4 linked regions of the Struthio camelus genome follow. The protein of the gene in region 1 interacts with the protein of each later gene in a pairwise test. Links are inferred from orthologs where the notes say so. Each region holds a gene or a part of one and is shown on either strand. Other genes may lie near its edges.

Evidence for each region.
Region 2: the proteins of CBY2 (region 1) and TXLNA interact in binary tests that used the Homo sapiens proteins (3 or more experiments, as listed by UniProt). The two-hybrid records come from large-scale screens. The link is inferred for Struthio camelus from reciprocal best matches to the Homo sapiens genes CBY2 and TXLNA.
Region 3: the proteins of CBY2 (region 1) and MMAB interact in binary tests that used the Homo sapiens proteins (3 or more experiments, as listed by UniProt). The two-hybrid records come from large-scale screens. The link is inferred for Struthio camelus from reciprocal best matches to the Homo sapiens genes CBY2 and MMAB.
Region 4: the proteins of CBY2 (region 1) and PLEKHN1 interact in binary tests that used the Homo sapiens proteins (3 or more experiments, as listed by UniProt). The two-hybrid records come from large-scale screens. The link is inferred for Struthio camelus from reciprocal best matches to the Homo sapiens genes CBY2 and PLEKHN1.

The regions. Positions count from the first base shown.
Region 1 is NC_090942.1:191,153,025-191,159,695, reverse strand, and holds CBY2 (protein chibby homolog 2), read right to left. Parts: upstream 1,788-6,671; 5' UTR 1,537-1,787; coding exon 520-1,536; downstream 1-519.
Region 2 is NC_090964.1:8,542,650-8,550,154, reverse strand, and holds the start of TXLNA (alpha-taxilin), read right to left. Parts: upstream 3,009-7,505; 5' UTR 2,778-3,008; intron 1,508-2,777; exon of another isoform or gene 1,460-1,507; intron 931-1,459; 5' UTR 897-930; coding exon 779-896; intron 1-778. Other genes in the region: KPNA6 (importin subunit alpha-7), read right to left, coding at 4,794-4,978, 5,618-5,796, 6,366-6,493, 7,080-7,205. UniProt on the Homo sapiens protein: May be involved in intracellular vesicle traffic and potentially in calcium-dependent exocytosis in neuroendocrine cells.
Region 3 is NC_090958.1:19,210,202-19,217,407, forward strand, and holds the start of MMAB (corrinoid adenosyltransferase MMAB), read right to left. Parts: upstream 3,019-7,206; 5' UTR 2,899-3,018; coding exon 2,792-2,898; intron 2,710-2,791; coding exon 2,648-2,709; intron 2,530-2,647; coding exon 2,436-2,529; intron 1,994-2,435; coding exon 1,936-1,993; intron 1,039-1,935; coding exon 966-1,038; intron 581-965; coding exon 483-580; intron 172-482; coding exon 107-171; intron 1-106. Other genes in the region: MVK (mevalonate kinase), read left to right, coding at 3,421-3,498, 3,583-3,727, 4,541-4,688, 5,918-6,073. UniProt on the Homo sapiens protein: Converts cob(I)alamin to adenosylcobalamin (adenosylcob(III)alamin), a coenzyme for methylmalonyl-CoA mutase, therefore participates in the final step of the vitamin B12 conversion.
Region 4 is NC_090962.1:4,767,513-4,775,004, forward strand, and holds the start of PLEKHN1 (pleckstrin homology domain-containing family N member 1), read right to left. Parts: upstream 3,007-7,492; 5' UTR 2,786-3,006; coding exon 2,706-2,785; intron 1,071-2,705; coding exon 971-1,070; intron 1-970. UniProt on the Homo sapiens protein: Controls the stability of the leptin mRNA harboring an AU-rich element (ARE) in its 3' UTR, in cooperation with the RNA stabilizer ELAVL1.

The sequences.
Region 1 (6,671 bases):
TCTCTTCGATGGGCCTGTCTCCTCCGTGAGGCCACATTTCCCATGATTCATTGCTTAGCCTACGTGAGAAAGGTAAGGCTGGTGCATCGCAGAAGACATAGTTCAGCCACTGAGCTTGGCATCAAAAGAAAGGGACCAACAGGGCTCCAAACTCAGCTCCCAGTTGGAATCCTGGTTTTCAGAAAGTGCCTATCCCTCTGGTAAATATGGCCGTTCCAAGGTACCTCAGATTAAGTGAGAAAAGCATGAGCTATCTGTTGAAAATGTAGCCTTATTATTAGAAACTTTTAAAATATGCCGAAAAGCATGTTTTTCTGGGACTAGGCAAATTCATGACAGTTGCCCACTCCCATGTTATCAGAAGGGGAAACGCATCCAAGTGATACAAGAAAGTTTCAGAATAACACAATGTTCACCAGCTGGTTTTTTTCTTCAGATTCCACTGGGATTTTATTGAGTTCCTTGAAACAAGGAGAGGTGCTTTACAGGAAATTGAACCAGCAGGTTTAGCTGCAAGTTTCACATGTCTCCAAGCTGATATTCACTTGCCAGTATTTGTCCTGCTTCTTCGAACACTGGGGAAGTGATGGCACTGAGCTCTTTTTGCAGCATTTCCATTTGAGCTGTAATATCTGACACAGTGTTTTTCACGGCATTCAACTGCAGTCTCAATTTATTGTTCTCTTCTTGGAAGACTTTGTTCTCCTCCTGGAGAATCTGAATGTCCTTTTTCTCTCCAGAGGGAGCATAGTCCTCTTTCAGGGAGTTTTTCTCTCCAGAGGGAATATAGTCCTCTTTCAGGAAGACCTGGAGGGCTTGGTATAAGTTCTGGATGGCCTGGCCAATTGGATACTCACCCTGCATGGCTGGGGCACTCTTCTCATTCTGGGTTGGATTGGAGCTCCCCACTTCGTGTTCCTGCTGGGGGGCTAGATCAGGGTTACCTTCTTCTGGATCTGTGATAGTTTGAGTGTCTTTCTGAAGAACTGAGCTTGTGTCTTTGCTCTCTTCATGGACTGCAATGGCTTTTTTGTTTTTCCAAATGATGGGGAAAGCTTTATTCTGCTGCCGGAAGATCTCTAAAGCTCTGTTCTTTCCCCGGACAATCTGAAGAGCTTTGTTATCTTGGCTGATCTGAAAGCCTATGTTGCTGTCTGGGAAGATTGGGAATGACCTCTTTTCCTTCTGGAGGCCCTGATGAATAGTGTCATCATAAATGACCTTGACAGTCTTATTCTGCGCCTGGAGGCACCGAAGAGCCTTGTTTTCTTCCTGCAGCATGCTGTTTTCAATACGGAGAACTTTGTTTTCCTCCAGGAGTGCTCTATTCTCCTCCCAGATGCTCCATTCACTCTGTGTCTTCTTGCTGAAGTGCTTCTCGTGGGAAGCAAAGGGTGGCTGATGGTAAATTTCGTTCACCCATTTGCCATCAATAAAGATAAATGTCTCATCACTCAGTTTCACTCGTGGGGTGGTACAATCTATGTCAGTCCTTGTGCATTGCATGTTGTGGTTCATCAGATCACAAGCAGACATGGGTTTTCTTTAGTAAACTGAGTAAGTCTGTGTGAAAACACTTTCTCCAGGACTTCCACGAGAGGCCACTCTCCGTTGGTAAATGACACAGGGGTTTTGGAGAAGCTTTATCAGGACTGATAGAAAAGGGAACATAAATGCACGGAATTATTACCAAAATTCAAGGTCCAAATTAAATTACATTAGATAACAGAAACTAGCAAAGAAGTAAGTTCCCACAATCAACTGTGTTGCCTCCTTGACACTGGAAGGTAGGGAATACACCAGAAACATAGTTCATAAAATCTGAGAATACTGGCACTAGTAGATTTACCAGTGCTATGGCAACACCACGAGCTTTTATGCAAAAACCTTGACTCTCCTTTTATCCCTCTACCTCATTTTTACAGACATGTAAAGAGTTAAGATGTAAGAACACCTCAGAATTGTCCTTTCCTTGCTGACCAACAGGTAAACGAATACCAGAATCACAGGATGGCTGAGGGTGGAAGGGACCTCTGGATATCATCCAGTCTAACCCCCCTGCTCAAGCAGGGTCACCCAGAGCAAGCTGCCCAGGACTGTGTCCAGACAGCTTTTGAATATCTCCGAGGATAGAGAATAAATTAATTAATTAAAATAAATTATGGGGCTGGAGACAAGTTTTCAAAGATGCCTAGTAAGACATTTTTAAAGGATGAAAAAATGTCATTACTTTTGAAACTGGCCCTAAGAGCAGCTTTTTCCAGTGGATGCTCAGTAACCTTTGCTAACAAGAGGCCACAAAAATATGATGGCAGCCGTGTTTTTTAATCTTAAAATTGACAGCACCATCAATAGGAAGAACACAGAATGATATAGTGTGCACAGATAATTAAAAATCTAAACCACAGCACTGCGCCATCGGGACTGGAAGAGCTCTATTGCTCTTCACGTATTCTTCTGACAAGTTCCTATCAGCACGTTCCAAACACTGTCGCACTCCATACATAATTCTCCATCTTTCCTTCTCATTTCTCCACAGTTTCTCTTATCTTTGTATTCTTTGATAGCTCCATTACGTCTCTCACATTCTAGGTTTGCAATAGCAATGTGTCATCGCTTTTTTTACAGTTGTTCTGCCTCTTTCTCACATCACCAGAAAACTTATCACTTCAAAATCCATCCTGCTAAGTTGTACCTCCAATTCTTCTCATTTCAATTGCAGAAAACTCAGACTCATCTGTTCAATATCCTTTCTCTGTTTGTTCTGCCCAAAATGCTCCTGGCCAAATCACCTTCTAGTCATAACTAAACTTGGAGAAATGAAGGAATTCAGTGTGTTTTCATGAACACAAAATGCCAGATAAGTTTTATGCCAAAGAAAGTCTTATTTTCTGCAGTTCTCATCAAAATAAAATGTGTTCCCGTAAAAATAAAATACATGAAATTTTCAAGATGAGATGAGGTTAAACTGTTTTTTATAATAAACTTGTTTGAATGTCTTGTGTGTATGTATTTTTTTTTAAAGCTAAATCTCTGCAATGTGCCTTCTTCTAATTAGAAAAAAGAGGTTGGCTGTCAAATTTCACCTAGATCTACCCTCTTCCTCCTTGAATTCCTCCAGCTGCCTTACTGTCCCTTATGAAATCCAATTCTACCTGTTCAGCTGGTGAGGAGAATTTTACCTTCACAAACTTCATCTCCATACCTTTCCATAAAGTGTTAGGCGTGCTGTTGACACTGGGAAATGTAACTCACCAACTCCTCATCTCTTCCAGCTCTTTCATGACATTGTCTCCCAGCACCTCTGTCCTGCCATGGTCTTTCCTGTCCACAAAGTCTTCTCCACTGCTCTTTCCCACCCCTCTGCACTGTCTACCATGCTGCTTCCTGTTGTATTGTTTCTCCTAGCTCCATTTGGCTCCTGAAAGCCAGCATCACATAACTACTTCCTTCTCCTCCTCCTTCCCAAGTTTATCCAAAAATTCAGAAAATTGTTGGTGGTACTTTAAATCCCCAAACCCTTAAAGCGAGAGTGAGTTTTGGAGGGAGTTGCAATATAGGTTTGTTGCAATAATATGTGGTAGAGTTTGTTGTGGTAGGGTCTCAGTCTAGCTCTCAAGGTTGTCTTCTGCATCACTGTATGTTTTATCTCACATCAAACTAGCGTTTTCATTATATTGCTCTGCTAAAAAGGATTTCCCACAGTATGCAACAACCTTGCAATTTCAAAGTTCATTTTTTCCACTTGTGTTGTGCTTTCAACTGTGTATTTTTCCCTCTTACACTCCTCCACAGCCATTCCAACTTGCCCGATGTCCGCTTTCATGCTCTGGGAGCTCTGCACCCCTCTGCGGGAAGAAGGGTGGCGAACATGTCTCCCAAAACACTCCCTGACATGGCTCCTGCGATTTTGCAGGCCTAGGTTTTCATCAGATGTTTGCACCATCAACCCCAGGGCTGAAAGGAAAGTCAGCCAAGGAGAGAATGACCCCAGACGCCCCTAAATATCCAAATAAGAAACAGAAAATATAGGTATTGTGAGCCAAGACACACCTGCCAGTGAGTGGCTTGGGTAGGTGGCTAGAGCTGTTAAAATCACTTATATTTAAAGTGTTTATATGGCATGTTTTCAGGACAAACAGAAACATTTAATATATTCGGTATTGAAGGACATTATCTTGGGGACAATTAAACTTGACAGCATCTCTGTCAGCTCTTTTGCACTGCAGTAAAGATATTGACCCACGCTTCACAGAGGCATTTCAAGTTCTCTCAGGCTCTGTTATCATTTTCAAGTATTTCTGAACTAAATAATCCCGTAAAAAGGCTGGGGAACTGAGATGGGCAGGAAGGACAATTTTTTTGAGGGAAGCTGCACAAAATCAGGCTGAGCTAGGTAATTCAGCCGTAGTAAATGAAGCATTGACACATACTCACCTGCTTACAAAAGTCGGTCGTGTTCCCTTTCCCTGCGCTCTTGCCAAACAGCCCTGTTTCTAGCTGCTTTTTTGATTTGAGGCAAGAGGCTCAAGATTGCCCCAGCTTCTCCTCCTCCTAGCTGGTTCCCTGCCTGGTCCCGCCAGTGCCAGCTCACATGCATGGTATGTAACAAGGAACAAAGGCGCCGGACTGTGACACGACCAGCAGTCACCACGCACCGGGGTGGGGGTAAGGGCGGCAAGCATCCCCTGACGGAGAGTCGGATGCACGCAGATACCGCCTTCCCACAACTCACTTTTTGCTCTTTTGTCCTTGATTTTCCCCAGCAATGCACAGTTGGGTTATCTTTCACGGAAATGACCTTTCTGTATCTCAGCTCTCAAGCCCTTTCCTGAACCCAGACTTCCCTCTATCTTTGATGCTCATAACTGAGAGCAGTTTAAATAGATTGTTCTTCTATCACATTCTTTTAAAACATTTTTTGTTTTTATTCAGAATATTCAAATTATGTTTGCTGCTGAATTGGTACTGATGCTCAAAAATAACCTCCATGCGTGCACTGTGAGACCTGAAGTCACTTTGCAAAGAGAATTTGAGTCTGGAGTTTTTCTTTGACTATATGTTTAAAAGGAGAGTATCACTGAACCCTATTAAGAAGAAAACAGAATATGCAGGGCATCCATGCATTGTAAGTTTAGACGTTATTTGTAGCAGCTATTCTCACTTCTACATCTTTGCGTTTCTAATGATCTCATTTTCTTTGTTATTCACTACATCTTTAAGATGTAGAATAAATTTTTTTTCTAATCAAGATTCTTGAATAATAAATAGCGCTCTTAATTTCTTTTCCAATGAACATTACCCACCTGATATCAGCCCCAAGGTGAGTGTTATTGTTCTAGGAAGTTGCAGACGCAGTTCAGCTTTGGTGTTATGCAAAGATGATAAACTCAGGTATAAAATTCTTCTCTGTAATTTCTCCCTTGCTTTTTTTTAATCTCAGACAACACAGGAACATCACAGGTTACTATGGTAACTCCCCAGGGAACACTCTCTTCTTTTCAAGTTCAGGTATCCTGCAACGGAAAGCAGAAAAGTATCCTTAAAGGACAAAGGAAAATATTTTATCATAGGATGTTTGCGCCTAGTCTGCCATCAGATGGGAGCTCAAGGGTGCTACCTAGACGCAGCAGTTTTTAGGAAAGATGGCAATTTGAAATGGGTCATCTGTATTTTTGAAGGACTGAGACTGTGGGCCACTAAAACAGACCTTAGATGAATGTTTTAAGGTCTAAGAGCTGACTGGATAGTGAGTTAGTGGAGACAAGCACCGTGAAGTACTAATCAGAAGACAAAGCCCGTGTAATCCAGAACTACCAAGAACTCAGTTAGCAGTGTACCGTTGCCTTTTCTTAATTTTTCTACGCAGTATTTTCCGTAAAGCTGGATAAAGTTCTTTAGGCAAATCATTCATTTGCTAAAAACTGTGACTTCAAATACTAATGTATTTGGGCCAGATTTAGTGACCTGCATCAGACACATGTTCATGTATGTGAAGACATGCATTCAAATTGGAAATGCTGCAACAGTTCACTGCAGAATTTTTTATACCGGCTACGCAGATTTCTGAGCTGGACTCCCGAAAGAACTTAGATGTCATTCACAAAACTACAAAGGCAGAAATAATGCTGAGTATTTTCACCTCCCTGCCAAGATACAAATAACCCCTGCTCCAGGAGAAGGGTTTGAACCAACTTCCCAGCTGAGCGCTTTGTCCACAGCTTTAGACTTTTCAGTTTCTCCAGGTGAAGCTATTTCACTACACAATCAAATATTAATTGAGACCTAAGTCACGTCCCCCATCCTACTTACACAGCTTACACCAGACTATGGAGCCGTTCTTCCTTCTTTTCAGAGATTATCAGGTTCTGGGGGAGACCTTACAATCCCCACCTCACAATATTCTCCAGTTTCAGAAACAGCTCCCTGCTGAGCCGCAAGACGTCACAGTCCAGTGTGGGTCTCAAACGGGGAGAGAGGGAGGTCTGAACTGCTGTCCGCAAAGGCCTCGCAGGAAGGACGCTGCAGACCCTGTCTTGCCCTCCTGCCTTTCAGGAATGGGGACACCTACCCGTGGTAAAGCTCAGCCCTTTCTTTCCTTTGCTCTTGGGCTTAGAAGGACCTGTTAAAGTGCCTGCAATCGAAATAATCTGTTCTTTTAGTACAAGCAA
Region 2 (7,505 bases), on another chromosome or scaffold:
AGATTTAAAACCCAAGTTAGCCTCTCTCGTCACATATAGAACAGCTGTACTGGGTCAGATCAAAGGTATCTTGTCCCTAAGAGCATCCAACAGCAGATGCTTAGGGAAGGAGTAGGCAGCCCATCCCTTAGTACGCGTCTTAGCTTCCAAAATTCCCCCAAATGAGACTCCTTGATAACAGACAGCAGTTGGTTATTAAACTAACGCTATGCACTGGGCATTCACTACATCCCACGTTTACTAGGCATCAGAATATACATAAGGCCGGGTGAATTTTAACTAAGCACCTACTTTACTAGACATGTTTTTTATTCCTTCTAGAGAATTATTTTTATGACTTGAAAAGCGCCGATAACAGGGCAGGTCACTCAACATAACACTGCCCCAGGGAAAGATTGTCTGACTTTTCTCCTGTATGGGATCCTTCAGGTCTAAGCAACAGCAAATAACCCATCATGTTCAGGTCAGGATCAAAGGCAGATGCAACTCCACACTTTGGTAACCTGTTCCCCAAGGCAGCAGTAACTACTTCAGAACTGCACATATGCAGAAGCGATAAGAAACAAGGATTTTCTGCTCCTGACATCACAACTGCTCTTATACAAGTAAAAAGAGTTGGATACAACAGCCCACCCTCCTATGGAGAAAGCAAGAGATCAACTCTTTTCAGGCTTGAAACCCACCCTCCCGCTTCCCTGCGTGCCGCTGCTCGGGCTGTCAGCACTGCCCCCAGCCACCGACAGGGAGCTGCGTGTCCCGGGACCGGGGGTCTCCCCACCTTCAAGGGGTGCTGCGGCCTCAGGTAAGTCGCCTTCCTCCAGCACGAGGCTGCTGCTCATTTTGGAAGAACTAGCAGGCCGCAGGGCAGCTTTGGTCTCCCCACCTTGGTTCTTCATCACGACTTTTCTCCCCACTCAGTCTCAACAAACCCTAGCAAAAGAGAAACAGCAACTACGTTTAATTTTAAGAAGTAACAGATTAGGGGGTTATAGCAGGATTCATCACCTTGCTGGGGAGTCAACGAGAACCGATGAACTCAGAACGGAGAAGCAACTCGTCCCTGGGGAGGCTGCTTCCCCACTGCCAGCTGCCACTATCCCACCTGCGGCTCAGCGCAGAGGAAAGCAGCATTTTGCGATTTGCGCCTGAACGCAAAGGCCTCTATATCAGAATAATTCTTCTTCCAGTTGAGAAATGCTAGAAGCAGCCCCTTCTAGGGCAAGGCAGCAAATCCCGAATCACGTGCAGCATGTAGGGCACATCTTTCTCAGCACTGTTACTTCCCCTTGCCCCACCATATTTTCCTCTTGGAACATTTCTCCTCCCTGCTAAGAAACATGTTTCACAGCTGAGAGTGATCTGTGCACACTGGCAATAAATCCCCTGTCTACGCGGAAGACCCAGAGACCAAAGCCTCCGCAGGAGAAAAGTCAGCACCAACTAAAACAAAAACGCATACCTGGCTGGAGGAAAGTGTGCAGCTCCCAGGCAGAGCTGGAGCTCAGCGCTGAAAAGATTAACTAGCATCACCGTGAGCCACAACGAACAGCCCGAGCTCAGCTCCCCGCTCGTCTCCCTCCTCTCTCCCCCAGCAGGGTATGTTCTCCCTGACTCTTTCCCCCGCGTTCTCTGCTCCAATCACGATACTAATTACAAAGCAGAGGCAGCCAGTGCTCCTAGTCTAGAGCCAAGGGAGCGTTCTGCAAGAGGTGGGAAAAAGCCTTTGCTGCAGTTTTGCAGTCATCGCCCAGGGAGACCCGAGCTTTCTCCGAGAGAGCAGCCCAGGACACGGCTGCCGAAGCAAAACACGGGCGAAAACGAGGAGCAGGCGCAGCAGCCAAGCACGCGCATCACGCGCCCCCAGGCCGGCGAGGCTGCGCCCCCTCCCACGGCAGGCCCGCGGCACCCAGCGCCCCGCTCTCGCCGAGCCCCCGGGCGCTCCTTTTCCTCCGCTGCTGCTGGAAACAGCGCAGCCCCCGCGCGCTGCCCCAGGCGCCGGCGGACGACGGCCGGCTCCGCAGCACCCCGGGCGAGGGGCAGCTCCTCGCACCCCGCCCCGCCCGGCCGCGCCGCCCCGGCACCCCCTGCCCTCGCCGCCGGCACCCCTGCGCTGCCCCACAGCTAACGCTGCCCCTCCTGCCCGCTCCGTACCGACCCCCGAGGTGTGCCGCACACCTGCCCCCCCGCTGTACCCCTTGCCTGCCCCCCGGTCACCCCCATCCCTGCCCCCCAGCCACCCCCCGTGCCTGCCCCCCTCAGCCGTGCCCCATACATGCCCCCTTGCTGTACCCCCGCCTGTTCCCCACAGCCGTGCCCCACTCCTGCCCCCCGCTGTACCCCTGCCTGCTTCCTACAGCCGTGCCCCACTCCTGTCCCCCAGCCAATACTCCCTGCCTGCTCCCCCACAGCCACCCCCACACATGCCCCCCGCTGTACCCCTCACCTGCCCCCCAGCCACCCCCGTGCCTGCCCCCCTCAGCCATGCCCCACACATGCCCCCCGCTGTACCCCCCGCCTGCTCCCCCAAGCTGTGCCCCACTCCTGCTCCCTCGCTATACCCCCCACCTGCTCCCCACAGCCGTGCCCCACTCCTGCCCCCCAGCCTCTTCCCCCCACCCCGGTCACCACCCCCGTTAACACCCCCGGCCCGGCCCTACTCCCCCGTTAACAGCCCGCCCCATGGCACCCCCAGGGCCTTGCCCCCCCTCCCCACCCCGACATGACGTTCCAGGCGGACACACACACCCCCAACCACCGCAATGACGTCATCCACGTACCCCGTGACGTCACCGCCAGGGGTCTGACGCGTCACCCCCCTCCCTCCTCAGCCAATCAGGGAGCAGGAGCCGGCGGCACCCCGGCACATCAGAGGGAAGCGAAGACGGAGCGGCCTCCTCCCCGGCGCCGCCCCGCCGGTCCCGCAGCCGGCGGCGGCTCTCTGCCCGCCTCCCTCCGGCCTCCGCGCTCAGGCCACGGCTCCGGCCCGGGCCTCCCAGCGTGCGCGCATCGCGCATGCGCCCCCCGCGCCGCCGGCCAATCAGCGGCTGCGGCGCCGCGAGGCCCGCCGGGAAATACCGGTGAGAGGCGGCAGTGGCGGCGGGTCCGCCGGTGGCACTACCGCTCCCGGCGTGCCGCGCGCGGGGCCGGAGGGGGGGGCGCGAACTACCACTCCCGGCGTGCCGCGCGCGGGGCCGGGGGGGGGCGCGAGCTACCGCTCCCGGCGTGCCGCGCGCGGGGCCGGAGGGGGGGGGCGCGAACTACCGCTCCCGGCGTGCCGCGCGCGGGGCGGCCGTTACCGGCGCTGAGGGCCCGCCCGGGATTTGGGGGGGGGGGGGGGGGGGCCGCCGAGCCCCACCGCCGTCCGAGGCGCCGCTGTCGCTTACTCGTTCACCAGCGCGGGGCTCGGCCCCCGGGCCGCCCCCGCAGCGGTTTCGCTCTCCGCAGCCTGGCCCGCCCCCTTTTAGTTTGTTTTTTAATGAGATCTTGGCTAAGTAAACTCAAGGCAGGTAGAGGAGTTTAAGACAGATCTATGTTTGCTTATACAGTACATGAGTAAACAGAGGAAAAGAAGCAGGACAACCAGTGAGTGAGCTCACAGACCGTCATTTCCAGGTATGCCTGCCTCACAGTATTCTATTTACATAAATTACAGAAATTTCATATATATTTTTCTCTGAAGCCCAATTAGACAAATATCTACCTATATATAATATAAAAAATACAGGGATTTGATTCTTCCTTTTGAAGTAAAATGTACATGATCCAACTGTGAGCAGGAGGTAAACCTGAAAACTCAGGCCTGTTGCTACTGAAGTTAACACCGCACACAACACTGCTGTCAAGTGTAGCTATGCCCTCTTCCTCCCCAGCCCATATTATGATCCACCCCAACCCAGCCAAAAAACCCCAAAATTCAAAACATGGTTTCATGAGAGGAGGAAAAAAAAAAACTTCAAGTAAGAATGAAGATGGGTTTCATCATTTCAACAGTTTGTGACTTCAGTCAGTAGCAATGCAAACAAAGCCTGTGCAATGGCAGCTGTGCTTCCTCTTTCAAAAACCACCCAAGCATCCCACCCTCTTCATAGTTACCATCTTTGGGGTTTTGTTGCTTTTTTCCTTGTAAATACCACTAGCAGTTCTCCAGGAAAAAAAAAAAAAAAAAAGAAGAATCCTTCCCCCAGAAAGCTTTCCCAGGATTGGGAGACTTCCCTGCTTCTCTGTCCATTTACAGTATATTTCAGGGGAACTTGGCCCAGGTCCAACAGGACTGTCCACTGAAGGAGGGTCGCAGAAAGGCCAGGGCTAAACTTTGCTCTTGGCAAATTAGAGTCTTTAATAAGAGTAACATGTGCAAAAAAATTAAATAGATCAACCCAGGTTTCCAGAATTATTGTCATCAGAATGCTCACTTTCTATGTGTTCTTACCCAACCCAATGCTGAAATCTCAATTTTAAGTACCCAAGGTAAAAAGTGACATTTGGGAGATCACCACAAAGAGGAAGAAAAAAAAAAACCCACAAGAGGTGCAATCTGTTATCTCAGTGTCCTTCCTCCACCCAGATGCCTGCTTTAAAGACACATATGCAGCAGCAAAAAGAAAAAGTGTAAGAACTTCCCCTTCTCTCCATGAGGACAAAGCACTGCTTCTAGTTGTTTCTGAAGGAGGAGTTGCTTCCTAACAGGTGGAGTGGGTGTTTAGCCTTCCATTTGCAAGGAGGGGGGTGGGACCATCAGCTGCTCCCAGTTGCTTCCTGGCAAGTTTGTAGTATTCTTTTCCCCTCTGGGCACATTATAGCTGGAAACCTTCCATTGGGGCTTCAGGTTGCTGGAATATGAATTGCTGCTGGTTCTCATCTACCTGGGGAGCTAGAGCAGAATCATCCTCTACTCCAAAGTAGTGCTCAATCAGGTCAAAGGCCTTCTGGTAGATCTCTTGGTTCTCATGGCTCTGCAGGAACTCTATCTTATCCAAGCCTTAGAGAAGAGAAAAGCAGCGTGTGACAAAACATGGAGAACCCCAGTGTTTACACTGTCCCACATCCATCCTCCACCCTCACCCCTGTTCAGGGCAAGACCCCTGCCTGTGTTAGATGTGCATTTTGTCTGCAGCACTCTGACATCTAAAGCTAACTCTTCCCATTACTCCAGAGTTGCTTGGAAATTTAATCCCTATCAGACAGCACTGACATCTTTACAACAGTAGGCTTAGCTGCTCACAGCTCCCTTGCTGAAGGCAAAACTGAAATCAGTGGGACTAATACAACTGGCCATGAATAGTTTGACAGTCCTGGGGCTGGAAGGGGGAAGAAGCAGGCCCTGACCCCAGGGGCCTCCCTCCAGCAGGAGGGCAGTGACTGCTTTAGCCATCTGACTTAAATCCACTGCTGAACAGGAAGCATCCAAGCAACATACGTTCTTATGAATTTCAAGAACTGCTCTTATTGGGAGAATCAGGCCACGTGATAACATCTCATTTGGAACATACTAAAATCCCTTATCTGGTACACACTTAAGTGCTAAGCAGAAGTGAAATCCATGACATCAGCAGACACCTGTCAACATACCCTACGGTTTTCAAAGGCAATAGCAGCAAGGCCACCAGCCACAACCTACCATAGGCTTCCTCAATCAGGCTGCAGTAAGGATTGATGCCTGTCCCACTCTGGTTGGCCTCCTGCTCTCCGAGCCTCAGTATGTTCTCCAGGCCGTTCAGCGCCACCTGAACAATCTTTGAGTCCATGACAGTCAGCAGGTCACAAAGAGGCTTGATACAACCCAAGTTTACCAGGTATCTACAGAGAGAGCACCCAGAACATACACTCAGCTTGCAGGATAGCAAACATCGCCTTCATTCACTTAAAAAAAGCTCAAAGGAATGAGTCAAACTAAAATAACTTTTTATATATATATATATAAGCTATATATAATGTTAAATAACTATAACGTTATTTAACATTATTAGTATATTTTACTGTTTTGCAAGCTTAATATTTATCTCCACTTATTTCTATGCATATACAACCCTGCCTTTAAAAAAAGGGCCAGCTCCCTTTGAAGTGAACTCAGGTGACACTGAGTTTAAGCCCACACGGGAATTTAAATGAGGTTTGGACATTTAGCCTAGTTTAAGCTATTTTAAAGACGTGAGAGGGAAGCAGTTTGGATTAGTCTGACACTTGCTTATCCCATTTCAGAAGGAAACTGCAATGCACAGCAGAGCACACTGTCTAGCTACAGCCTTGCCCATGTCTCAGGTATTCTCCCAGAGGTTCTCCCTTACTGCTTTGTCTTGCAGATCCCAAAGACATAAAGCTGCCATACATTCAGACCGATTTCCCCTAAGTGGGGCCATAAGGAGTACCTGATCTGTTCTGGAGTTCCTCCTGACGTTGCGTTTGTAATAGCCCATGCTGCCTCTTTCCTTGTACGGAATTCTGCTTTCTGCAAGATTTCTATCAGCACTGGGAAAATGTTTGCATCTATGACTGCCTGGGGAGAGAGAACAGTATGAAGTGTTTGAATTGGCAACATGGTTTCCAAAAGCAGCTGAAAGAAATCTCTCTCTACTTTCCAGTAAGCTTTCCGGCCTAAACCTTTTTCAGCAATTCCTCCATTTTATTCCTCTACCAAATCCTATATTCAATTCCATAACTAGCACAGTAAATAGTCCCTCATTATTGCATCAGTCCTGTAGAAAGTCTCATTTTATCTGCCTTGTTATGTAGGCCATTAAAAGGACAATTACATCTTAACAAGCTACAGCTTTTCAAAGGGGTATCTCTAATTGAGCATGGAGAAATGGGGGCTTTATGTCCTGTTCTTATTCCAATGATCCAAAAGGGGGACATTCAGTCATTTCAGTCTCATCCCTTTGTAGTACAATTAGCAGATTTTTAGCTAATTTATTTGGCCTACAGCTGGGAGCAGCCTGCCCACAAAATTTAAAGAGTTTTAAAGAGTTTAAACAAGCTTAAAGCCTCTAAGGGTCAGATAAGAAAAAGATTTGCAGACTCTGAACACTGAACTTGGACTCCAAGATCACTACAAATGAAACCTAAAAGCCTCAAAGCTGTACCTGTATTTGTGCTCTGTTTCCTGCTGTGATGTTAGAAATAGTCCAGCAGGCTTCTTTCCTAATCGACTCCTTGGGACTGCTTAATAAGTGAAGGAGACAAGGCAGTGCTGAACAGTTCAGGATCACCTTATGATAAGGAAAGCAGAAGTGAGGTCACCAGTATCAGGAAGAGAGCCAAGTTTTCCACCTTCTTTCAATTTTCACACAGTGAATATGCTGTATGGGTGCTGCATTTCCCTCCTTGCCCTTTTCAGAAAGGGGGAAGGAAAGGTACTTCTCCTATTATATCACTGTGGGAAAAAGGTACAAGAGAGGTACTTTGCCCCATCTCCCATGTCTTGAAATCAGACTTTCTGAAGCTCCATTTTAAAACCACACCCCCCACCCCCACACATCCAAAATAACAGAAAGCAAGAGAAAAACAAA
Region 3 (7,206 bases), on another chromosome or scaffold:
CCAAGGTCAGCTGCTCTGACTGCAACTTTAAATGGTTTGCAACTGTAGCAATCTGATCATCTTTCATCCATTTTGTTCAAGTTACATTAACAAGCCCAACACTCACCACCTTTCAGCTCTGCGGCAGACAGCCCGGGAAAAATGGAGAGCAGCACTGCTTTTACCTCCCGACTGAAACAACAATTAAACAGAGCATTAACGCCTGCTAACATTAGATAGCCACCCACCTCATTGTAGAGAGGCAGCAAAGCTTATCACATCTCATACACACATACAGCTGAACCTTAGGTTCTGGCTAGGCAGTTCTGAAGAGGTATCTAAATGGAATAGTACATGGAAATTTAGCTTTATCTGGTCCTTCTCTCTGCTTTCCTTTTGGCATTTGGTCCACACTAGTAACAGCCTTACAAACTTTTTTCCCCCGGTGGCAGGTGGTAGAGAAGATTTACCCTAAAGAAGCAAGTGGCATAAGAAGTACCTACTGGCAGTATGAAAGCTCTGAGTGGGGGAAGCTGTTCCGAGTATTTGTCAATCCACTGTTCCAGCTCCAGAACTGGCTTCTCGCTAAAAGATGTTCGTTCTACAGGGGGGAAAGAAAAATCAACTAAAAGAAATAGAGAAGTGATTCAACCTATAGAAGATGAAGCTCTACTTTGATATTACTTGGATCAGTAGGTCATAAGAAAGTGTCCCCCACATCCCTCCTGCTACAGTGGGGCTGGCTCCCCATTCAGCAGCTGTGGCTGGGGCGTGGGTTTTGGTGCAATGCCCCAGGCTGGCCCCGTCGCTTGAGTCACAAAAACACAGCAGCAGCAGCTTCTGGGACCGCGTGTTATTTCCTTGCTCGTGAGGCAGCCCTCGTGCATCTCTGACTACCACACACAGTGAGAGCCTCCCTAATGCCAGTCCAGAAGGCAACATTAATTCCAGAACTGTTATTCTAGGAAAGATACTTTGGGGCTTACTTAAGTGAGCCTCCCTGGCTGAGGAGAGAGGTGTCGCGATGTTGGAGCCCACATCCTGCAGCATACACTGGACCTAGATGTGGCAATCAGGAAAAGCAAGAAGTGCTTTCATTATCCAGCCTTTGATGCTCTGGAACTGCAGCAAGCTCTGGGAGGCGACAGCTGGTTGTGCTGATTAAAGAAGATCCTACCCTTGTTGTTCATCATCCCCCAGTCTGCTGGCAGGGGGGATCAGATAAGTGCTCCCTAATTGCTTTATGAGAAGCCAGATTAGCACATGTACTCATTTTCACTGGCACATTAAACTACCCTGGCTGTCTTTGCAGAAAGCAGACTGGGGGGAGTACTCATATGATCCCTTTGCTGGTAAAACACCACAACCAGGAACCTCTGAAAGAAAGGCTGCGACAAACAGCTGGAGATAGTGCTGACTTGATGTCACATCTGTTTCCGAGAGGAGCATCTCTCCATGGCCTAGGATATTTGAGAGGCAGTTTGGTAAAGCTTTCCAGAGCCTCTGATTAGCTGCTTCTGAGTTCTTTTGCACAACAAAGCTAATGAGCAAAAGCCACAGGCTGCCATGGTGGGAGCTGCCTCCCATCATCGTGCCCACGTAGTTGCTTCACCCTGCCTTCAAGTTTGAAGCTAACATGACAACAAGGCTTAACTTCTGCCCAGGAGCTTGTACAGTAACAGGTCTGAATAAATCTCTTGGAGATATGATTGTCTACCCATAACTAATCTACTTGGTCTACTGGCTCAGCTTAAGGAGATGCAGTTTATTACTTAGAGAGTAATTAAGGATCAGACTCTCAAGTATATATTAGATACCTCATTTTAATACTTTAATACTAAATTTATCAGAATCCTGTGTCAATGAGAGCATTGTGTCTGGAAGTAAAGAGTTTAAGAATATATTTCAATAGCACAAACGAAGTTACTACACCAGGTAAAGATTGTTAATACTCACTTTGTGAAGCTGTTCAACAAAAGTGTAGCCCTTTTCACTGCTAAATTCACTAGCAAGCCTAGATTAAAAAAAGTCAAGTTAGCCAGAGATAAAAAGATTACTACGATTGTGCGTACACATTTTTCTGTATGAAAAACATAGAAATTGGATGCTCCTAGTTACTTGTCAGTGCAGCCCTCCAGAGAAACGTAGTCATAGTCCTCAGTGTATCCCCTTCCCCCCTGCAGGAGGACGGGATGTGGGAGCAGTTCTTAATAGAAACAAGACAACCAAAAGACCCCCAGCGCAAGGGGGTCAGGCCCGTGCGGCTGCATCCCTCGAGCACGCGCGGAGCCCCAGGGCTGTGCGCTGCCGACGAGGTCTGGCTCACGGGGGGTGGGAGCACCCCGGCTCGGCGGGGATCTCGGTGGAGAGCGTCCGGTTCGCACGAGTCCTGCCGGGCCTGCGGCAGCCCCTCTCCCAGGCAGCGCCGGCGGACAGGGCTGGGGCACGAGGGTTACCCGATAGCCGAGCTCAGCTCGTCCGTCGTGCCCAGGGCTTCGAAGATCTGGTCGTCCTTCGGCCTCCTCTCTCCGGTGAAAGTGCTGGAAAAGCCTTTGAAAACAGCCAAGGGGGAAGAAGGTCGGAGCGCGGGCACCAACGGAGACGAGCCCCGGGGCTGCCCTGGGCCTCCCCGCCGGTACCGCCCTCCCGGCAACGGCTCCGGCCTCACCTGCGTCTCCCGTTCTCGTGTAGATCTTCGGGGCGCGGGCGCTGCGAGGGCCGCGGTCCGGGCTGCGGAGGCAGAGGCGGGCCGTGAGCGCGGGGAGCCGGCCCCGGCCCCGGCCCCGGCCCCGGCTCCTCCTCTAGCGCTCACCTAGCCGCCTCGCCGCCATAGCGGCGCCCCGCTGTCGCCGTCACCGTCGCCGCCAGGCTCCGCGGCCTGCGCAGGCTCCAGGCCGCCACCGCCGCCCGCCTCAGCATCCCTCTCGGCTCCCGTAGCCCCGGCCTCTGACCCTGCCCCACCGGGCCGCTAACCGCCTCCCCGACCCTCCTCGGCCGCCGTCCCGCCTCTCTCCCGCACTGTCACCCCAGCGCCGCACCACTCCACGCTGCCGCTTTCCGATTGGCCCTCCCTAAACCCCGCCCCCGGGAGTCTCCCGGTCATTGGCTCCAGAGCAAGGAGGACGAGAGCAGGCATGTCTCCTATTGGTCAACGAGCTGGTCAATCGGCGGGGGTGGTGCGGTTCGGCGGCTGAGGCGGTCAGCGGTGAGTGGGGACCGGCACCGGGGAACCGGGACCGCTGGGCCTGGGTCGGGCCCGCCCCGCCCCGTCCCCCCCCCCCGGGCGCCGCCCTGGTGCCCGCGGGCCGTGCCCGGTGCTCCCCCGGCTGCTCTCCGCGGCGGCGGGAGGCGGAGGGGGGTGGCGGTCCCGAGGGTCCCGGTCCCGGTGGTGGCGGCGGTCCCGCAGCGCGCTCAGGCGCGGCTCCCCGCTCGCAGGTGGAGATGCTGGAGCGCAGCCTGGTGCTGTCCGCCCCGGGGAAGGCCATCCTGCACGGGGAGCACGCCGTGGTCTACGGCAAGGTGAGGAGGCCCCGCGGCCGCACCCCCCCCCCCCCGGCCGCGGTCCCGGCGCGGCCGCGGCTGACGGTGGCTCCTCGCCCGCAGGTGGCCCTGGCCGTGGCCCTGGACCTGCGGACCTTCCTGCGGCTGCGGCCCGCCGGCGGCAGCGTCTCGCTCCGCCTGCCCAGCCTCGGCGCGGCGGCCAGTTGGGAGAGGAGCCGGCTGCAGGCCCTGCGGAGCGGCTTCTCAGGCAAGCGGCGGGGGGGGGGGGGGGGGGGGCTGCGCCGGCCTCGGCCGCCCCGACGGCGTCCCCGGCGGCCGCTTCTGCCGTTGCTGCTGCCCCGGCTGCCGGGACCCGGCTGCGTCGCTGCCCGTGTGCTCTGGGCCCAAAGGGGGTCTCGCTGAAGCCGCTCGGAGCGGAGGGCTCGTGGGGAGGATGGGGACGTGGGGCCCGTTTTTCTGCCTCTGCTCCCCCCCCCCGCCAGCCCTTGCTGGCGTTTCTGCAGCACCCCGTGCTGGAAGGGAGCGCCTGGCTGCCGCGTGTGCCGTCCCGCTCTGGAGGACCTGGCGTTAACGCCTGCGATCTTCACAGCCGCTGTTTGCTTAGCGCGAGGCAGAACAGAGCGTCAGCGCGTTGGTAATCCCTCAGCACAGACCAAAATTCGTCTTATGCTGATGTCTGCTCTTATCCGTTTGGATTCCTGGCTTCTGCGTGAAGCACATCAGAATATTCCTCACTCTTTATTAAAGGACTTGTGACTTGCCAGGCTCTGTGTAGCGGTGGGTGGGCATACTGAGGGGTGCAAGCAAGGGGAGAACTGCTAGAACACCGTGCCAGTGTGGGGATGCAGAAACACTAGGTTTTTCAGAAGGACTGGTGGAGACTTTGCTTCTATTTTATCACGAGTCCTTGGGTGGCAGCTTTATACATGAAACACGCTGACTGGCTCACAGTCTGTTGTGCCTACTATAACGGGAGATATTGTTCTTGTAAATACTGCTTTCAAGTTTAAAAACTCACTGGTTTCTAAGTGTTTAAATTCTGCCCTGCTTGCTTCCACAGCTGACTTTGATGAATCTAAATCCCCCAGCGTAGAACAGCTGAATACATTGAGAGAGTTTGCTGGAATCACTGCTGAATCCTCAGCTCCCGAGAGCCTTGCTACTCTTGCCTTTCTCTATATGTGCCTGGCTATTTCAGCTAAGTATGGGTAAGGTTATTTTCCTGTAGCAAAATAAACATGCTGTCTTGTGTATTGTGCATCATTAATTGCTTTTACGAGGTCACAGAAAGAAACCAAACATCTGAGGTGAAATGAGAAATTAAAGAGAGTCACACTTAGGTTCTGAGCACTCCAGGGGCAACTCTTTAGGGCTAAGCTGCACTTGGTGGTGGTGGTGGGGAGAATGCCAAGTGCCCCAAGCAGGTGGGGGAGGGATCATTTGTTCTATTTTAGACATCTACCTTTGAGATGCTTAAGTCCCACCCTTCCTGTACAGACGACAGAGACAGACATCCGCCCCATCCCTGGCAGGCAGTTCATCTCATCCTGAATTAGGTTAGAAAAATTACCGTGGAAACATACTTGAATTAAATGTCTGAGCTATGACTGCTCTCTCTGGTGGGCTGAATCTCTCTCAAAATATGGGAACTTGAGGTAACCACAGGTAAGGGCTCTCCCAGTTTCTAAACTTGACAAATGCAGCTGATGATAGTACTGTAAGTTATTGAAAACTCACTAAGAGTCAGGTGTGATACAGCACTGCCTGCTATTGCAAACGAGGTCAGAGCCTGAATTCAATATTCATAGCAGAGGAATCAAAGGTTAAAGAATTATTTGTAGCTTTACTGTGTTTTCCTTTGCCGTCTCTGAGCTTCTTGGTGATAGCACTGGTGCTGTGATCCACTTGCTCTGAAACTTACTGTTCATATCCCTCACCAGCCAGTGGAAAGCTCCTAGGTTTGATGTTAGGGACCGCAATGCAACCTGCGTGCGTTCAAGCAGAGACCAGGAGCACCTGGACACAAACACGTGTGTGTATTTCATTTTCCCATCAGCTCATCACTCTAGTAAGATGCAACTATGCAGTTATTGTCACGTTTACAACGTTTACAGCAATCTTTGAAGGGTCTCTTTATGGTGCTACTCAAGTTTTTGGTTACTAAGTGCCCCTGCTAGCAGCTTGACAAGCTGTGCTAATCACAGATCCAATTCAGCAAGGCTTTGTTCTAGCACAATGGCTTAGCAAGGCTACTCAGCTGTGCTAACTGAACGCTCGTGAGGCCCACGTCTGTCGGATGCTTATGGATGTGCTGAGGTTGCCAATTTTCAACTAGCCTGTCCTGTGATCAGTCCTAATTGGCATCTCTTGCCTTTGAAATGTTGTTTCAAGATGGAATTCAAGGTCATTGTATATAGCCTGTGTGTTTGTGTTTCAGAGATGTTCCAAGTGTGGACATAGTCGTGTGGTCTGAGCTGCCCGCAGGAGCTGGGTTAGGTTCAAGTGCTGCCTATTCTGTTTGCTTGGCGGCAGCCCTGCTGACTGCGTGCGGAGCCATTGCCTGCCCTCTGACTGAGGGGGAGTCCACAGCCAGGTAACACATCTGGGAAGCCTCCCCGCCTTGTGTGCACAGCACGGGGGTGGCTCTTGTTTCCAAGGTGCCCTGCTCACTGACACTGGCACACCGAACAGGCGGGTTAATACCCACTAAATATAATTCATGCACTTCAGTGCCTGAAGTAGTGTTTTACACAGTTATACAGGTGCACAGAGATGGGATCTAGGATTAAGATTATAATTAGCATGGTTCAGGCTGTTAGGGTGATTTGCAGGGAGGTTATACTTGTTTGCATGAGGCTGTGACAGTCACAGTGGCATACAGCTGTCCTTGCTGGCTGGTCTCCAGGATGGGCAGTTTGGATCAGCACATCCCACGATGTGATTGTTGTGCCCCTGTCTTTCTTTTCATCTGAGCCTGCACTGGCAACTGTCTTGCACTCTCTGGCATTCCCTGAGCTCAGGATCTGGTTGTGGCTCTGGTCACAGCAGTAGTACCCCGAGCCCAGCTCCTTTCCCTTCCTGACCTGTTGTCACCCTGTGTTCCCAGCAGCAGAGGTGTGTCCTGTCCCTGGACTCTGAGCTGTGAATGGTGTGTTTACAATTCACTTCTGGTAAAACAACTGGATGCAGAGACTGATTTAAAAAAAAAAAAAATTGACCTACCTTTTGTTTTGTCTAGTATAAGATACAGATGGTTTTTTTTGCAAAGAAAATAAAATATATGCTTTAACTTACAGGAACTTTTTTTTTTTTTTTTTACCTCTATTTTCTCTTTGTCTCTGAGCCTCTTCTAGGTTCTGCTTTCTGTCCTCCAAGGAATCAAGGATCCTTTCTGTTTTGTCTGCCTTTACACATTGATTTCTTTCTGCATGTGGCTCGTTTCCTTCTGATTTCCTGCCTGAGCTTTCCCTTTTCCAGTGGCCGGTGAGGGGGAGTCTCTTTCCTAACCTCCATCCACTTCTGCCCTGTGTTGCTTTCACTTGACGTTCAGGCTTGAAAATCTGATCTGCCCTGCTCTGTGTCCAGGGAAGCTATGTCAAAAGATGCATATCACAGTTGAGTGCAGAACCCTCTATTGTTTGCTCTGTGCCAGGTGCAGCCTTTTATGCTTGGCTTCTTCTGATTTTGTGTCGGCCTGAAAGTGAGACAGCCAGAAAGGGCAGCTGC
Region 4 (7,492 bases), on another chromosome or scaffold:
GAAAAACAAAAGGCCTACCCAGAGGCAGCTGAACCAAAAGGGACTGCAGAGGTCCTGTTTGAGGGGGACAGATCAGCTCCGAGACAGCTGAATCTTTGCAGCAACCCAAGGTACCTGAGCAGGACTGCCCAGAACTGGGCCCTCCAATACACCAAGCCCTTGACAGGCATCTCATGGTCATTGAAATACACCTGGCCAGCAGCTGAAGCCCAAGAGATAACGTCCTACAACTGACCTCCGAAATTACCTCTGTCTAGCTGTGTCTCTCTCTGCCTCAGTTTCCCCCACCCCCATGCCCACATAGACTATTTGCTGTGCAGTGGGGGAGGTATGTAGATAGTACAGTGCAACAGGCCCCAAGCTCAGTGCATGTCCCCGGCCCACCCAAAGGCACCAAAGCAAAACATCAGGGCTCATTGTTTCACCTCCGCTTCCCCTGAGCAGTGCTGGGAAACGGGCCATACGGCTACCAGGCTGGTACGTGCCTAGGACAGACCTGCCCTTCCTGATTACCTTCCTAAGGCTCATTGCTAATATGCTGCCTGCTCCGTCTCACTCCGGCGTGGGAATGAATCATCCCACCTTTGCGTGCTCGCGCTAATTTTCCCTTCCTTTGCACACTACCCAGAAACAAAAGCACCAATAGCAGCAAGGGGGTTGTGAGATAGTCCCACCACGCTGCCTGCCTTGCCCCTAGTGCTGCACCCCCAGCGGCACACATTTTTGTTGCTGACAGTTCCCCTTGACTCCTGCACGGGTACCCTGGAGCAGATGACTCCTGCCGTGAAGGATACGGCATAACAAGCCATCCTTCCTTGGCTGCAGATATGACCTCCATCTCCTTGAGACAGGCCTGCTGCTATCCCCTGACCCAGAGCCCTTGTCCCTCTCGCGTACAAAGCTGTCCCTGGGGTGGGTGACAATAATCTCTGGGAATGGTGGGGAGGGGGCTGGATGCGTTTGTACTTGCCTTTCCTGGAATATACTGCAGTATTTTGTCTGCGGTCGTATCTCTCTCCCGCCCTCCTTCAATACCAAACAAGCTGGGTACTTTTTTCTTGCCATCTTTTCTACAAAGGGGAGAAAAAAAACAAAGAAACGCATGCAAACACAGATCTAGCCTGGTGCATAGTAAATTCTGCCCAGAAACAAGAAAGCTGGAGTAAGCAGTTGGTCATGGGCTTTCTAATCATCCAGGACAGCAAAGGGCTGATAAAAGCCTGGGACAATTGTAATGGGTTTTGTGCTGCACTTGTTTTAGCTTTGCTTTTTTACGTGTCTTTGCATGACCAAGTGATAAGCTAGGCTCGTCTGGGTCTCCAGCTCAGTGAAGGAAATGGACGTCCCATTGCAAAATACAAAAAAAGCCAAGTAAAATCCTGATGGCTATTCCAAAGCCACTGGAGCAGAGATGGATTTGTACATCCACACCCACACAGAAACAGGGTTTATTTCTCTTTGTGATTTTCCTGTCTCTTTCCTTCCGCTCCCAGCAGAGCCCCCAGCTTCTCCTGGTGTGCAACCCATCAATGAGCAGTTACAAATGCCATTAAGAAAACTGGGACTGCCTGGCTGGCGCTCCCCAGCGGATTTTCTCTCTTTCAACCAGATTGCAGCACTTAGTCCCGCAGAAACCAGGCTCATCTCCACGGAGAGCCGTCAGCGCGGGAGGCACAGAGGCAGCAGGGACGAGGGGTGCTCCGGGGCTTGGCCGTTACACTGCGGGCTACCTGACATTGGCCCTTCGGGGTTCAAATTCCCTCTCTCCTACCGCCTCGCAACTGCACAGACTCCTGCAGGTTTGCTCCTGAATTACCGCAGCACAGAAGCAGGGGGACAGTTTCGGTGTCTCTTTTTGGTTACAAATTCCCAAGACTAGCAGAGTTCACGGGGATTATCCTGATTTCTAACAGGGCTCCTTTTCAGCCCAAAGCTCTCAGAATTGGGAGGGCTCTGCTCAGTACGTGCTTAGGATAGCAACAAGATTACTGTGACTGCACTGATGGGAGCGTGAGCCGGGGGAAAGGCAGCGCTTAGGGAAGCTTGCTCTGCCCTCCCTGGTAGGCTCTATTTTGGGACAGCTGCCCATCACTGTGGTACCTGAATGCTCTCCTGGCCAGCCCAGCACCAAAGTCCCTAGAAGGTTTCACTGCTGGTTTCTTTCATGTCTTCCTTGGGAGTTACAAACACAGACCAAACTGTACAGGCAGAGGATCATATTGGGATTTGGGGCTCTCGCTCTAAAGTAAAAGGAATGTGAGTGTTGCTCCCTGTTCACGGTCCCTGGTAGCTTGCTTTTGTGATCAATCAGTGCCACAACTCCGGGAGACATGAATTAAAAAAATCACAAGTGAAAACAAGGAACTTCAGGCATCTTGCACCTTGCCCCGTCGGTCCCATAGAGAGGGGTTTTCATTTTCCAAATGAAATGGCACAAATCACATTTTCCCTTGGGGCGGTGCCGCTGGGATATTCTGCCGGCATAGCCCTAGAATTTCTTCCCTGCCACTTGCGATGAGTTGATCTTGTTCAGCACTGCCTAGTACCAGCAAAACCATGCCCAAGCCCTGCAAATAACTCTTGGGTTTCCCAAGCGGGGCTCAGCTGCTAGCCCAGTTCTGTACGGTGTCTCGCAAAGGAGAAAGTCAGCAGGGAAGCCAGCACGTGCTTGAAAAGCAGTCCACAATAAAAGCAAGGGTACTTACTCTTTCTTCAGCGAAGGTTTCCTGCTGAAAGAGTGTCTGAACCTCCCAGGTGCCTGAGGAACACAAGTTATGTTCCCCATGCTGGTAGCAACTGGAACAGTCCCCGAGCAGCTGGGAGCTGGAGTGCTGGGCAGAAACTGAGACCGAGAGCGTGTGGAGCCAGGGAAGTTTGTGTGTGTGTGTCATGCAGACATTCCCACTTCCGCCTCCAGTGACTCTTGTGGGTGTGAGCTGTGAGCAAACAGACTTTCGGCCAAGGTTTCTTGCCTGCTCCTTCTCGTCTCCCCCTCCCTGCCCGCCTGGGACTGATAGCACCGGCGCTGGCAGGAGTCCTGCGGCGCGGGGAGGGGCAAGCCAGGCCAGCCGGAGTCTGCCGGCAGGCACCTGCAGGGGAGGAGGGCGAAAAGGCAGACTCCGTCCTGCTGCCTTTGGAAGGGAATTATCGCCGCTTTCAAAAGGAGGGACTCCACCAAGCTGCCAGCTGACCACACAGAGGGATCCCCTGGCAGCCAGGGCAGCGACTGAAGTGACACACAGGTGTCACACGCCTGCTCCGATTTGCCTGCATCTCCCCGAGAACCTTTCTTTGCCCACTCACTTTCTTCCTATTAGAAGTGTTTTGAGGTTTTGCATTTCTCGATTAACAAAACAATGCCATCCTTGTGGCAGAATTGTATAGTAGACCGCATTTTGGCTTGTAAAGAAGAATTAATCACAGAATCAAAAATCCATTGTTGCTTAGATGCAGCAAGTGACCATTACATAATAACGCTTGTTATCAGAGAACAGGATAAACCTGGAGCCCATAATAAATGTATTTGGAGCAATTTTCCAAAAGGAAATCAATTACCATTCAGGTCAGCTGGCAAAAAAAAAAATCAAAAGGTAATTCCAATAATTATTGTGTAAGTGTTCTCTGAGGTGTTCACAAGGCTGCAACTTAGAACATTTATTCTAGTTAAAAAGAATTAGCTTGTATTAGAGGTGAAATGTAAAAAAACATCTAAAAATAAAACAAACAAACAGAGGAAAACAAATAGTAAATATATATATATATAAAAATAAAACTAGGAATTATGGAAAACTGATAAAGAGAGCAAAGCACAAAAGAGGTGCATGACCACCAAAGCTAAAGGGATATTTTCAAAGAAGCATTTTAAAAGGCAAAGCAAAAATTCCCAACCCTGGTATCAGTCCCTTATTATGCGGAAATAGTAATAACAACAGTGAGTAGTCAAGGATAATACAGAAGGCAGATACAATCAATAAATATTTCTGTTCTATGCATTGAAAAAGCTAGGCAGTATAGTCATAGCAAATGATGAAACCCTTTTCATTCCATAGTACTGCAGGTAGGTGTTAAAAAACAGTCACTAAACTTGGAGGCTCTAGATGAGAAGGTCCAGACAATTTGTATCCAAGAGTTTTGCAAGGCCTGAACAACAAAGGTCTTGAATCACTGCTCTTCATTTGTAGCAAGTCTTTCATGACCAGGGAATTGGCAGAGAACTGCAAGAAGTTAACAGGATACCAGTATTTCGAAGGGTAAAGAAGACCATCCTAGTAATTATGGGTTTGTCAGTCAGATGACACTGATCCATAGGAAAATGAAAGGACAGCTGTTAGGGAGTCCGATTAACTAAGAGTTTAAGGAGGAGAATATAATTAATACAAATAACTGGGGGTTACGGAAATTAATTCTTGTCAAACTAATTTAATTTCTATCTCATTTGAAAAAAATCATATCTGGTTAATGAAAATAATGGTGTTGAATTAAGAAATGACTATAAAGCACTTGATACACTTGACTATAAAGCACTGATACATCCACACAGCCTGCTAGTAAGAGCCTAAAACAATACAAAAACGGTAAGATAGACAAATATGTTACAGAGTGACTGGCCAGGGAGACTCAAAAGCAACTGTAAACAGCTCTCTGAGAAGGGTGTTTCTGACGGGTGTTTTGTCTCCACATTATTTTGACTGACAGCCCAGCAGCTCCATCTTGCTACCATAGCAGAGAGGCGACAGAGATGCAGTCGGGCTGGAAGTGCCTACACGGGGAACAGACAAACAGCTGGCAAAGAGATAACAAGAGCCAATGCTGAGAAACTGAAGATGGACAGAAACTGAAGATGCCCAGAAACAAGGCACGTATTTTTAGGTTATTTCTTACTGGAACAACTCCCTGAGGACTGCGACGGCTTCTTCAACAGGGGACTTTCAAAACCAGGAGAGGATGTTTTGCTAGGAGATTTGTTTGAACCAAACAAGGATTTGTTGTGGGAAGTCTTATGGACATATTGGACTTTTCACGATGGTCCTTTTTGGCCTCAGACTCTATTTGTATTTACCCTGTCCTGGAGCTGAAGCAACAGCAAAAGCAGTAACAAAAAAAGCGGTAGTATAATAAATAGCAGTGTAACAACAAAGATAGCAGTAACAAAATCAACATACCCCAAAAAGCTAATCGTAGGATTAGGCTACGCTTACCCAGAGAGGGCGGCTGATAACAAACATGCCATAAAATTTGACAAAGGCCTCCACATACTTGACTTTTGAAAACAAGTCCCCTTTGTATATAATTCATTAACCCATCGCAGCTGAGCAAAGCTCAGGACAGACCACTCCAGAGAAGCCCTATCCAAAACACCATAATTTTTATAGTTGGATAATGCCCCAAACCATAGTGTGTCTGTGCAAGACTGCAAAGCAACACTCCAACAGCGAAGACATGTCCCAGTGCCTCCTGGGAGAAAGCAAAAATGACAGCCAACAGCAACAACTGTTGCTTTTTCAGGAAAAGGATCGTTCCCCTTAAGAGCCATGGCTAACGAGGCCTTGCAGCGTGACCAGGAACGTGCTGTTTCTCCAACATATCTGTCCCAAGTAGAAACCTACCGCTCAAAATAGGGATATAACTACCTCTCTCCAGCTATTTTTTTTGGTCCTGCAAACATGCATTGTCTTGTTCACTGGGACAGCAACGACCACCACCAACAGGCTGGCAGGGCCAGGCACGACCTGCAGACGAGGACAGCTCCCACTCTTTGGCACGCTGGGCACGCAGGCTTGCAGGGCAAACTGCTCTCCCACACCCTCTTTGCCCTGCTTCCAGGGGCAGGAGTGCCTGAACTGGGGGGGAAGAGGTCAGGCTTTTACAGTGTGCTAGTTATTTATAGAAACCCGAGATAGAAGCAAGAGCCTGGAGAGCAGCGAGAAAGAGGACACGGCAGGGTAACCACTGGGTCTGGCATGACTACTATACAGCATCGGGGCTTTACTGCAAGGTACTAGCACCTGTGCAAGGGAAAGTTCCCTTTCAGTCCCAAAGCGTGCTTGCACCCCTCGTCATGCAGTTTCTCATTGTCCTTTTTTGCTCTCTGCACCCCCCACTACCATGAAATGAGCTTAGTATTTTCCCCACAGGCAGCAGTGATTGGCAGCAGCTGGTGATGGTAGATCTGACTGTGGCAGAGCCTTCCCTCCTGCTGCATGGGACCAGCTTGCTGCTCCTGCCTCCAGGCAAGATGCATGTGACAGCTGGAGGTAGAGGAGGACGTTTCTTATCTGGATTTCATTTCCAATGCAGGAAAAGCTTGTCAACAGTACTGGAGATTGGGAAACCCAGGGAGTCAAAACTGTTTAACTAGAATTTAAAGGCGGGGAGAGGTATCAGTCTGCCTCTAAAGCCCCTACGATTCAAACTGGTCTTGTCCCAGTGGCCTCCTAACCATCAGCATCGTCTTGCTCTTTCCTTCTCCAGGGTTGCAGCACAGCAAGGGATTGCTGAGGCCAGCCCACAACACCCTCTCTGGGAGTATAAAACACCTTGTCCACAGGACAGCAACCTCCTTGGCCAGGCAGCCAGCACCAAGCTGCTGAGTGTGGCACCAGGACCTAGAGGAACCAGGGCTGAAGTGGGAGCTGCTCTTTTTAGCTCACTTGAGGCTCCCCAAAAGAGTAGTTTCTTTAAAGTTGGCCTTTGTCTCCTCCGGCCTCCTGTGCTAACATCCACAACTGCAGGGTCAGTGCAATAGGGCCCAATCCCAGAGGGACATGGGTCCCTGCTCCGTGCAGATGCCCTGAAGCCCAGAGCAGCTGCACCCAAGGAGATGAGACCTATTCAGTGGCTGCTCAGGCACAGACACACAGCAGCCCACCATGCATACCCTCTGCCTGGAGGCTCCTTCTCCACCTAGAGCAATAAAAAGAACAGCTACCTGCTTTCTTGGAGCAGAGCCAGGGAAGAGAAAGGAAGGACACAGAGGGCAGGATCTGGGATTCAGGAAAACGTCTTTATTGTACACATTGGCTTGTATTGCTTGTATCCCCTCCCCAATCCCACATAGTGCAAAAAATTCAGAGAGACAGAGTTCCACATAAATAAGTCAGATAACCTACAGAGAAATCAAAACGACGACAGTTCGACGTGGAGTAGACCAAGTCTGCCTACCAGCAGGGCCAAGAGAACCTCTCCCCCAGAACAGGGCAAGAGCTCCTGCTTAGCCTTGCCATCTCGCTGCAGACTGACACCCAGATCCCTGGGTGAAACATGGCAACACATACAGCCTCGAGCCATCACCTGCTTAGGGATGCTCCTCAGCTGGAAACAGCTCACATAGAAAATTGCACGAGTGATATTTTTGGGCAAGACGCCACTAACTAAAACCGGCAGAGAAACCACAGACAGTTGACAGTTCTCCTCCCCTCCTCAGGTAGGGTACTACACACACACACAGACGCACACAGACGCACACCCCTCTCCAAGGCCACTGCCTCAGCAA